2 linked regions of the Sus scrofa genome follow. The protein of the gene in region 1 purifies or fractionates together with the protein of each later gene. This does not show direct contact. Links are inferred from orthologs where the notes say so. Each region holds a gene or a part of one and is shown on either strand. Other genes may lie near its edges.

The links. The genes of interacting proteins can lie anywhere in the genome.
Region 2: the proteins of PFDN6 (region 1) and PFDN1 purify together in Homo sapiens (affinity purification with mass spectrometry; 6 studies listed by BioGRID and IntAct, with this or other methods). This does not show direct contact. The link is inferred for Sus scrofa from reciprocal best matches to the Homo sapiens genes PFDN6 and PFDN1.

The regions. Positions count from the first base shown.
Region 1 is NC_010449.5:29,651,387-29,656,867, reverse strand, and holds PFDN6 (prefoldin subunit 6), read right to left. Parts: upstream 3,177-5,481; intron 3,170-3,176; exon of another isoform or gene 3,027-3,169; coding exon of another isoform or gene 2,945-3,026; coding exon 2,881-2,944; intron 2,685-2,880; coding exon 2,614-2,684; intron 2,532-2,613; coding exon 2,407-2,531; intron 2,154-2,406; coding exon 2,024-2,153; 3' UTR 1,923-2,023; downstream 1-1,922. Other genes in the region: WDR46 (WD repeat-containing protein 46), read left to right, coding at 3,488-3,688, 3,784-3,999, 4,109-4,189, 4,320-4,432, 4,556-4,643, 4,779-4,840, 5,110-5,214, 5,336-5,481. UniProt on the Homo sapiens protein: Binds specifically to cytosolic chaperonin (c-CPN) and transfers target proteins to it. Binds to nascent polypeptide chain and promotes folding in an environment in which there are many competing pathways for nonnative proteins.
Region 2 is NC_010444.4:142,070,179-142,076,163, forward strand, and holds part of PFDN1 (prefoldin subunit 1), read right to left. Parts: intron 4,630-5,985; coding exon 4,463-4,629; intron 1-4,462. UniProt on the Homo sapiens protein: Binds specifically to cytosolic chaperonin (c-CPN) and transfers target proteins to it. Binds to nascent polypeptide chain and promotes folding in an environment in which there are many competing pathways for nonnative proteins.

The DNA of each region.
Region 1 (5,481 bases):
TTTTCACTGACCCTTGGTTTTAGCGGCCATGTTTTATTCAGAAGGTTACTTTGCATTAGCTGCTGCACCTGAGCTTCCAGAGGCTGTTAGGTTTTCAGAGCCAACAGCAATCTCTGCACAGGGAACAGCCCTGAAAGCATGTGGGCTGGCAGGTGCAGCACAGGGGCCACCACAGAGGGCTGTCCTGTTTACTCGAAGGGCTTGGACAGGTAGCCTTTTCTGGTTGGGATCGCTGGCTATGGTTGGGAAGATGGAAAGCAAAGGTCATCATGGCCAATTTACTGCCCTTTTGGTCTGCTGTCCTGCCAGGTAACAAGCCAGGACAAAGCTCCAAGTGTCATCAGTCGTGTCCTTAAGAAAAACAATCGTGATTCTGCAGTGGCTTCAGAGTATGAGCTGGTGCAGCTGCTACCAGGGGAGCGAGGTCAGAGGCTGGGGGCAGGGGAGCGGTGCTGTGGTGGGGTGCTTCCTCACCCCCCCATCCCTTCCCGGGGCTGTGCCTGACACCCCTTTTGGAACCTCCAGAGCTGACCATCCCCGCCTCGGCCAACGTCTTCTACGCCATGGATGGTGCGTCCCACGATTTCCTCCTGCGGCAGCGGCGCAGGCCCTCTACTGCTACGCTGGGCCCCTCTGCCTCGGGGACGCCCCCGAGCGCGGGGGGAGGGGGCTCCTTCCCCAGGATCAAAGCCACGGGGAGGAAGATTGCCCGGGCACTGTTCTGAGGGGAGAGCCTCGGCTCACAGAACTCACTGCGGCCATACCAGACGGGGGCGCTACGTTGGGAGAAAATCCAGCAAGGCGGCCAACTACCCTGGGGCAGTGAAGTGCTGCCAGGTTACCAGGCAGCCAAGACCCAGCCTGTGGGACTGGTCACCTCGGATCCCAAGGTGGACAACCTGTGTGTAGCTCTTCCCGATTTCCAAAAGTGTGGCACACAGCTGGTTCCTGACACCTGGCCACACCCTCGCATGCCCAGGCCCAAGAAGGGCCTAGAAGTGGGAGAAGGGAAAAGCCTAGAGGCTCTGAGCCCCAGGCAAAGGGAATGGCAAGTAGGAGTTCCTTTTCCTGCTCTAGGGATTCCTGTCACTGTGACAACACTAATAAACCAAAACACTACCTGAATTCTATTCCTTGCAGCGTGGGCCACTGATGCTGCGGGGGCGGGGGCAGGGGGGCAGGCTGAGAGTGGATACTGTGGAATAAGAGGGGCTGTGTTTTCCGTCCATGAAGAGCTGAAAGCGAGGAGCTGCTGGAGATGGTCTCCTCAGTATGGTTTCTGCCTCCCTGGCAACCTCTCCATCCCTTTATTTGCTCTTAAACTTTTCTCCTCAGCTGTTACAAAACCTTGTCAAGTTCTAGCCACCTGATTAAAGTGATCCGTGCAAAAACCCCCACACCTGTGAATGTGTAAGAAACAATTTGAGGACAAAGAAACGGAAGAACAACATTGTGGACAACGTATAAACATGGAGGACGTATGATATCAGAGCGTTAGGTGTTGAGATTTTAAATCAGTTTAAGCTACATTCAAGCAAATTCTAAGAAAAAAAGACTAAAACGAATTAGAGGGATGCCAGGGCTATTTTGAAGATGATGGGAAATCAGCAGGGAGGGTCCCCATGTTTCATTCTGGGGTCACAGCTTAGAAAATTCTGAGTTCAATTAAACTCACTTTACCCAAAACCACTGCATTGCAAATGCCCTTCTCATGTTTCCAACCAGGATAATGGAGACCTAAGGGCTGCATATACAGGAAAAATGAGATTTGAGATATTTCATATTTCAGTCTCAATAAAGAAGGCTTACTCGGCCTCAGAGTGCCCAGTTGCAAGAGTCTGGACCTGAGGGAGTCACAGAAGCGATAAACATATAAGGGGAGAAGGGACCAGGGGAAAAGGTGGAGATGATTACAACAGAAGTGGCTGGTGAGAAAACAGCCAGGTGTTTTCACATTTTATTCACTACAGTAGAGACCCTTGAGCTGCCTCATTCCCACCCCCTCCCTCCCCCCTCCACAGGGTCAGGCCTTCCCAGGAGCCCCTGCCTTGGCTGCCTGGGCCCGCTGGAACTCCTGCTGCAGCTGAGCCAGGGTCTCCCTCTGTTGCTCTGACTGGCGCTCCAGTTCCCGGAGTTGGGATTCGTATCGCTTACTGAGGAAGACAGAACACCAAAAACGGTGAGGTCTTAATGAGACTTACTGCTGAGGATGCTGAAGGCAGGAAGGAGATTGGTGGGGAACGTGAGATCCAAGGGAGGGAGGAGAAGAGGGGTTAAAAGGAAAGCGGCTGGAGGAACTGGGTGGTGGTGGTGGTGGGAACAGCTCTGGAAGCTACTCTACAAGGCTTTCTCAACACGTCTTCCACCGTGGCATGTCTGTCAGAAGGTGCTGGAACAAAGACTCACATTTCAGCTGTGATGTAGTCCAGCCTTTTCCCCACTGTGGCTCGAGCCTCTCCCAGCTCCTGTTTGACCAGCACGGGACCCAGAAGTTTAAAGACCACGTTGGATCCATCCAGCAGGGCCAGTTCCTGATGGAGGGGCAGGACATCTGTGATCAGAAACATTGCCAGGACAAGTTCCCTCCTCGCCCCACAAATCCTGTGCTCTCACCTCCTTCACGATATTATTTTCTGTTAGTTGTGCTTCTAGTTTCTGCCTCCCTGACATGGACTTACTCAAGTCTGGCGGGTGGGAGGGAAGACTTGATTAAAGACATCAGATATGCCACCCAATCCCTACCGTCCTGGTGAGAAATGGAGCGACAAGGACGGGAACACCATGGAGGTGGGGAAGGGGCACGGGTGGGATGGAGAGGGGCAGGACGCATCTTGTAAGGCTTCGGGTAGTGAGAGAACCGGGACAACCCCGTTCCCCTACCCTTCTGTAGCTGTTGATATTTCTCCACTTCTCCCTGTAGCTTCTTCTGGATCAGCTCAGCCATGGCGAGGACGAAACTCCGCGGGAAGAGGGAGAGGGGCGCTGGGTTGCACACTCTGGAAGGTACCCGAGCTCCCCTTTCCGGCCTGCGGAAATGACAGCCCTCTTGAGAAGCAGCCCCTCGGGGCACCGCAGTCTCCCCCCGTCCGAGATATCGACTCCACCCCTGCTCTAGGCGGCAGCGGGGGAAAAGAGACCCCAGAGCCCTCAACCGAACGCCTGCTCTATCTACTCACGTTCTTCTTTCAGTGTTGGTGAACCCGGAAGTAAACAGAGAATGCTGGGAAGAGACGGCGCCGGAAGCTCTCGTCTGACGCATGCCGGGAACTGTAGTTCTCACTTGTTAGACGAGTGGCGTTTTTCTAAAAGGCTGGACTCGGAACGTTCTAGGCAACATGCGGAAACGAAGCTGGAAAAAGGAACTGCACAGTCAACTTGAGTCCTGGCTCCGGACCACCTCTCTTTCATTACTCAAGCATAAACTGCCTCACGGGGGCGGGGCCAAGGTCTGCCCCCCACCTCACTGGAGAGAGCGCCCTCACCCAAGATGGCGCCTCGAGGGCTTCGAACCTGGGGCGGAGCTGATTGGATGAGGGCCGGAAGACTTCCGGGAGTTTTCAATCCGACTGTGGGACAGCTGAGAGGAGTTTGCACGTGTGTCGCGGTTCGGGTGGGCTTGATGGAGACAGCCCCCAAGCCTGGCAGTGATGTCCCGCCCAAGAAGGACAGACTTCAGGCCAAGAGAAAGGTAGAGACCTCCTTGGGTTGAAAGGAAAGTTTTTGGCTGAGGGGTTGGAGGGGCGGGGAGGAGGCAGCGGAATATCAGGGGTCCTGATCTGCCAGCAGAAACCTCGGCGATACTGGGAGGAAGAGACCGCTCCGACAGCTGCCGGAGCCTCTCCGGGTCCCCCTCGTAAACAGAAGAAGAATCGAGAGGCCCGCCCTCAGAAGCCAAAGAACGCTCCCATCCAAAAGAAGTCTCGGTTCCCCAAGAAGCCCCAGGTCCCAAAGAAATCCCAAGAATGGAGGAGTCCAGGCCCTCAGCGGAGCTTGTCTGGGGTGAGCCTGGGACCTTATACGGTGGCGAGGCAAGTCTCCTCGTGCTTTGAGGGTACGAGAGTTGGGATCAACCCGAGCCTGTTTACTAATTGCCCCATTCCTGTCCCAGGCCCAGGACCCGTTTGCAGGCCCCGCCCCTGTCCCTGTGGAGGTAGTTCGAAAGTTCCGTCGCATCGACAAATCCAAAAAGGTGAGAACCGGTCGGAGAGTGGGGAGGAGTTGCAGGCAGGGAGTGTCTGGGTGAGCTGGATGGAGGCGCGGTCAGGTGGCTCTCCTGTAACCCCCATACTCGCCCATTCCTCTCCCACCAATGATTGTAGCTGCCCCGTTCCAAGTCCAAAGCCCAAAGCCGGCTTGATGCTGCTGAAGCTGAGGAAGAGGAAATAAGCGTCAAAGCTGCTCGTTCTGAGCTGCTGCTGGCTGAGGAACCTGGGTAAGTGGACCGTAATGTGGGCCTCCCCAGCTCCTGGTTTATGAGGCTCTCATTTCTCACTTTTATGTTGATACACTGACTTCACATCGGAAAGCTGAATGCAACCCTGACATTCACTGGCAGGTTTCTGGAAGGTGAGGATGGGGAGGACACAGCAAGGATACGCCAGGCTGACATCGCAGAGGCTGTGGATATTGCAAGTGCAGCCAAGGTGAGCCTGAGGGTGTAAAAGGATCCAGCGGGCTGACTGGGGTGCAGAGCAGGATGGAAGTGGGGCTAGAAGAAAATATTACTGAAGGGACCCAATTTTTTTCTTTCTTTTTTTCTCCGCTATTCCCTTTTCCAGCACTTTGACTTGAACTTGAGGCAGTTTGGACCCTACAGGCTGAATTACTCTCGAACAGGGAGGTAAGGTTGACTTCCAGTGATTTGAACTAGGGTGTGGTTGAGTCTCCTTCATTGCTGCAGCCTTGCCCACCCCTGACGCGTTGTGTGCATGTTTGGGTGTGTATATACCTATGTGTACATACATGAGCGTACATTTGGGCTGTTGATGTGGGAGACTCTTGTGACCTGCTCGCGTGTGAGGGTGAGCGTGGAGGGAAGCTGGTGAGGGCAGACCTCAGAGGCAGGGTGCTCCCTGTACTGACACCCTGCCTGTCCTCCACCTCCAACAGGCACCTGGCTTTGGGAGGGCGACGGGGTCATGTGGCCGCCCTCGACTGGGTGACAAAGAAGCTTATGTGCGAGATCAACGTCATGGAGGCGGTGCGGGACATCCGGTCCGTGGGCTCTGGTGGTGGTGGTGGTGATGGCGGCGGCGGTGGGTGGTGAGACAGCCCATCCCCGACTGAGTGACTGCCAGTGACTCTCTGTCACCCCCACCACTCCTGCTCCTCCTAGGTTTCTGCACTCAGAGGCACTGCTTGCTGTTGCTCAGAACCGTTGGCTTCACATTTACGACAACCAGGGCATCGAGCTCCATTGCGTCCGCCGCTGTGACCGCATCACCCGGCTTGAGTTCCTGCCCTTCCACTTCCTCCTGGCCA
Region 2 (5,985 bases), on another chromosome or scaffold:
CTGATCCCACACCTCAGTGGGAACTCCAAAATATGTTACTTTTATCATTTCATCTTTATTGAATCATATATTAAAACAGCATAATAGGAGTCCCCTTGTGGAGCTCCCTCTGTGGTGCAGTGGGTTAAGAATCCAATTGCAGTCACTGTGCTGGGCCAGGTTCGATCCCTGGCCCAGCACAGTGGGTTAAAGGATCCAGTGTTGCCACAGCTGCACTGGTAGGTCACAGCTGCAGCTCAGATTTGATCCCTGGTCTAGGAACTTTCATATGGCCTGGATGCACCCATAAAAAAATAAAATAAAAAGTAGGAGTTGTCTGGTGGCACAATAGGTTAAGGATCACTGTAGCATCTTGGGTCACTGGCCCAGTAATTCCCATATGCCCCAGGAGCAGCTAATAAATAAATAAACAAACAGCATAATAAACTCCAATTCTTTGGTTTGTTTGTTTGTTTGTTTGTTTTTGGTCTTTCTAGGGCCACACCTGCAAAATGTGAAGTTCCCAGGCTAGGCATCGAATCAGAGCTGCAGCGCCGTCCTACACCACAGCAACAGCAACTTGGGATCCAAACCACGTCTTCAACCTACATGGCAGCTCACAGCAACACTGGATCCTCAACCCAATGAGCAAGGCCAGGGATGGAACCCACGTCCTCATGGATACTAGTCAGGTTTGTGACCACTGAGCCACAACAGGAACTCCTAAACTCCAATCCTTACTGACACTTTCTAAACATTTTCTTTCTAAAGAACCAAAAGAAAATGCAGTTATTTTAGACAAGAGAATCATATTCAATTCAAATCAATGTACATTTAATACCTATTTTGTGCCAGACATTATGCTGAGAACTGAGAAAACAAAAATAAATATGTATATGGTCTCAGAGAGCTGACAACATACTTGAGGAGACAATACCATTTCAAACTCTGTCCATTTCTGCCCTCTACCCCTACCCCCCAACCCCCCAGCCCCCCCACCCGCCCATGTGCTCTACTAACCACAGGAACAAAATTCCTGGTATCACTTAAAGTGTGAATAAGCTGCCAGGGAAGATGGAAAAATCTTGAGAAAAGATGAATTATGTCTTGAAGGATGCAAATTTCACAAGAGAAACTAGGATCCTGCAGCCCAAGGACAGAATTAGCAAAATCAAGAAAGCACAAAAACATGGCATGTGTGAGGAAGCCTATGCACCAAGGGTAGAGATAATAATTTGGGGTATATGTGCTACTACTCTTCTACCTCACCCCGAGACAGACATCACTAATCAATTAAAACATGTTTAAACCCACATGAGACTCAAATTCCTTCTCAAAGGTAACCCAAAACCAACGGATGGAGTTAAATCTATGAGATGAAATCTATGTGCTGACCTGAGAATAGAAAGAGTGGGATTTGAGGCTAGAAGGGTAAATTAAGGACAGGTTATGATAATGGTAAATGCTAGACCAATGAGTTTAGACTTTTTCCCATGGGCAAGTAAAGAAAAACAGAAGATTTTATGAAGGATAATGACGTGATCAATTCTGGCAGATGTATGAAGAAAGCATTTGGACCAAGAGAATAAAGACAGAAACAACAGTTAAGAAGCTATTACAATAGTCCAGAGCTAGACACAATGAGGCCTGAATTTCAGGGATGACATAAATCTACTGCAGGTTCTAAAAAAATTATACTGTTTTAGATTCCGTAATTATTGATTTTAAGACAACTGAGAAAATTTAGTATTCTAATTAAAACTTCCAAATAATATTAAAAAGGAAAAAGAAAAGTCAAATGAAGGTAAAGACTAGAATTAAAGAAGTGAATCACAATGATACTCAAGATTACTCAAGACTATAAATGCAGAAATAGATATTTCAGGTTTAGCATCAAGAAGGAGAACTCATGACCAGACTAATACTCAGCAAGTCTTTTCTTCCTGAGGGCACTAATACTCCAGCCAAACAATAAACACTACCTTACATGCCCCTACAAATGCAAGTTTCAAATTCACACCCCCCCAGTGAGATGCAGAAAATACAAAAGTCAAATTTAGAACCAGTCTGAAACCATTTAAGTATTCCACTTTATCTAAACATTTAAAACTACACATTTAAGAAGCATAATTTACATGAAACAAATCTGTAAACACATCTGTAGAACAGGGGTTCTACCATTAACTAATTTTTTTTTTTTTTTTTTTTTGCTTTTTAGGGCCGCACTTGCAGCACATGGAGGTTCCCAGGCTAGGGGTCGAATTGGAGCTACAGCTGTCAGCCTACACCACAGCCACAGCAACAAGGGATCTGAGCCACGTCTGCAACCTACACCACAGCTCATGGCAATGCCGAATCCATAACCCACTGAGCAAGGCCAGGGATTGAACCCACATCCTCATGGATCCTAGCTGGGTTCATTACTGCTGAAACACAGCGGGAACTCCACCATTAACTAATTCATATCCCAGTCTTTAAACTCTACAGTTCTTTGTGTGGAATACAACATATATGGAGCACTTTGGGCAGTACGCAAAAAAAGTAACTCTCCTATCATTTCTGCAGAATGTTTAATAAATTAAATTATTCTAATAAAAAATTAAAACTTCACTGTAGATCGAAAGGACAAAGATAATCAAAGAATTTTTCTATTCTGGAAAGAGATTCTTTAGCTGTTTTGAACAAAGGCTAAAGTAATGATGTGAAATCCAAGTGCGACATTAACAAGCATGCTAGAAAAGCTTAAGACTTAAGGATATTCACATTAAGGATAAAATTATCCCATAGCAAATACAACAACACAGTTCACACTGCATAGACACATTCAAGGGTTCTACTCTGTCCTCATTCCAATTTGTGTCCCAATAACACACTCTCAGAATCTCCTTTTAAAACAAGCTAAAATGAAAAATATGAACTCTGGAGATAAAATTTATTTGTGGTATATTATTTATTCTGAGAAAGCAAATCAGTTTATCATATTCTATCTCTTTTCCAGAAAGATATGGATTAGCTAGTCAAGAGTAGGATCTATTTCTCATGATGTCATTCCAAAGCCATTACTAAATGTTACACATGTTATGCTTCCTTCCAATCAATCACAAAACAAGTCATCCTAAGACTGAGGTCAAATTCCTTTCTAACTAAAAGATCTCCAAACTTAAGTAATGGTCCACTTAGTAAGTAATATTCAAAGACCAAAATTCAGAAAACCCTCCTCCTGTACCTCTCTTACTTATTTAAAGAAAAAAAAAAAAAAAAAAAAATCTGTCTCTTTGAGCTCATTGTGATGGAATGTGACCTGTAGCTAAGGGCTTCTCCATTCCTATTTAACTACTTAGAAAACAAAAAGCAGGTCTATTTTTTCTCAAAAGAGTAATTTTTTTTTTTTTTTTTTTGGTCTTTTTGCCTTTTCTAGGGCCGCTCCCGCGGCATATGGAGGTTCCCAGGCTAGGGGTCAAATCGGAGCTGTAGCCGCCGGCCTACACCAGAGCCACAGCAACGCAGGATCCGAGCTGCATCCGAGACCTACACCACAGCTCAGGGCAATGCTGGATCCTTAACCCACTGAGCAAGGCCAGGGATAGAACCCTCAACCTCATGGTTCCTAGTCGGATTTGTTAACCACTGCACCACGACAGGAACTCCCATAAGGGTAATATATTTTTAAAAGGAAAAAAGTGAAATGTAGGTGGTTAATCATATAATAATAATTAGAACAATAGGTAAATTGATTTACTAGATTTCTCATGTATGACAGAATGAGTGTATTTAAATGACAACTGAGTATTTTTATTTCACAACACTAGTCAAACAACTAAAAGATTTATAATGTGAATGACTACTAATAATTAGGTTGCTAAGGGGAGGTTAAAACTACAACTGCTTAAATCAATCTTCACCCATAAAACTACTATAAACATCTTTTCATAACAAATCATGTTTTTATCATTCAAGTTACACGCTTATGTACGTAAGTAGAGAGAAGAACAGGGAAATAAATATTTTAAAAATGTACTTCAAAGTTAAAAATTAGGAGTTCCCATTGCGGCTCAAAGGTTAATGAATCCGACTAGGAACCATGAGGTTTCGGGTTCCATCCCTGGCCTTGCCCAATGAGTTAAGGATCCAGCATTGCCCTGAGCTGTGGTGTAGGTCTCAGATGCAGCTCAGATCCTGCGTTGCTGTGGCTCTGGTGTAGGCCGGCGGCTACAGCTCCGATTTGACCCCTAGCCTGGGAACCTCCATGTGTCGTGGGAGCGGCCCTAGGAAAGGACAAAAGACAAAAAAAAAAAAAAAAAAAGAAAGAAAAAAATTAAAGACATCAGTTTCTCATTTAAAAAAAAAAAAAGAAGATATTGACTAGACAATCTTTAAAGCTACTCTGATATTTTAATTTAAATTTTAAAGTGAACAAATTTTACAATTTAATCCAGACAAAACCTCTTCCAAGATAACCCCCTTAAGGATATATTTTACTTACATTCTTCCTACACCTTCATACATGTTGGTCTCATCTACCAAAGTCATAATCTCCGTATCTGTAAGATGTGCATGCTTTTTTGTCCTGTTGAGCTGTTCAATCTGTATGTCTGCAAGCTTCACCTTCTGTTGAGTGTCAATAACTTTAGCTTGAAGCTCTGTGAAGGCCTTAAAAAAAAAAAAAAAAGTCCTTGATTTAGTAAGTGAAACATTTTACAGAAAATATTTAAGTCAAATTTAAACATATTAAAATAAAGCCTGCTGAGACAAAGTTATAAAATTTGATGTTTGTTACCTGCGCAAACATCAATAAACGTTCATATAATTATAAATGATCAAGCCACTATGCTAAATATTCTTGACTCTTGAACAACTCAAGGCTTAGGGGCACTGACTCTCCATGTTGTCAAAATGCTGAGTACAGGAGTTTCCTCCTGGCTAGGAGGTTAAGGATCTGGAGTTGTCACTGCTGTGATTCTGGTTATAGCTGTGGAGCACATTTAGTCCCTGGGCTAGAAATTTCCACATGCCTTAGGCATGGCCAAAAAAAAAAAAAAATCCCAGTGTAATTTACAGCTGACCCTCCATATAGCAGTTCCTCTGTATCCTTGGTTCTACATCTGGATTTCAACCAATCACACAGTGTGTGGTACTGTAGTAATACCTTTAAAAATCTATGTACAATTGGATCCCCGCAGTTTAAACCTGTGTTGTTCAAGGGTCAACTGTTTTGAATTTACCCAGTCCTCAAAAGATGCTGTCTATTTGAAGCAGCAGAACAAAGACATGGTAAATAATAAACATATCAAGTAGCAGGTACCCAAGGAGTAATATAGGCACTAAATGCAACAGTCAGCGGATGAAACCCAGAGATCCAAAACAAGAACCATAAATGTAACTACTCACTACATTTATATTTTACAACTAGTTTTCAAAGCACTTTCCCACATTTTTTGAACTATTAATATGTAAATATTAATATGAGAACACTAATAGATGTAATAATAAATACCTCATTTACTCTTCTCAACAATCCTGAGTTAGGGCAAGCAGTTTCATCACCACAGCTTATAAATTAAGTAACTAAATGTTTGAAAGAGATATAAATGACTTGCACATGGTTGAACAACTAAGAGGTCTAAAAGTGAGCTCTTAAGTCCATTTCTTGACTTCTAGTTCAAAAACCTTTCCGTTCTGCTGTCTATAGTAATATTCAGAAAATGCATATTTTAAGAGAAGGACAAAAAAGAAAATATTTGAAACACTGGAAGAAGAATTATATCATGACAGAGGCACACACCAAGCCAAATCTGACCCTTGGGTACCCTTAACTCAAAAAGCTCCTAGGTACTCTTGTTGAAGAGCCTAGAATGACTTTCACATCCTGTCAAATTTATGCCTTAATACTTGAATAATAATTTTTGTGGCTGCAATGCATGGCAAAAGCTGCTATTTAACTTCTACTCTGGCTTTGTTCTCACCTACTAGTAAGGTTTCAAAATTTTGTTTAGAGTTAGAGGAGGT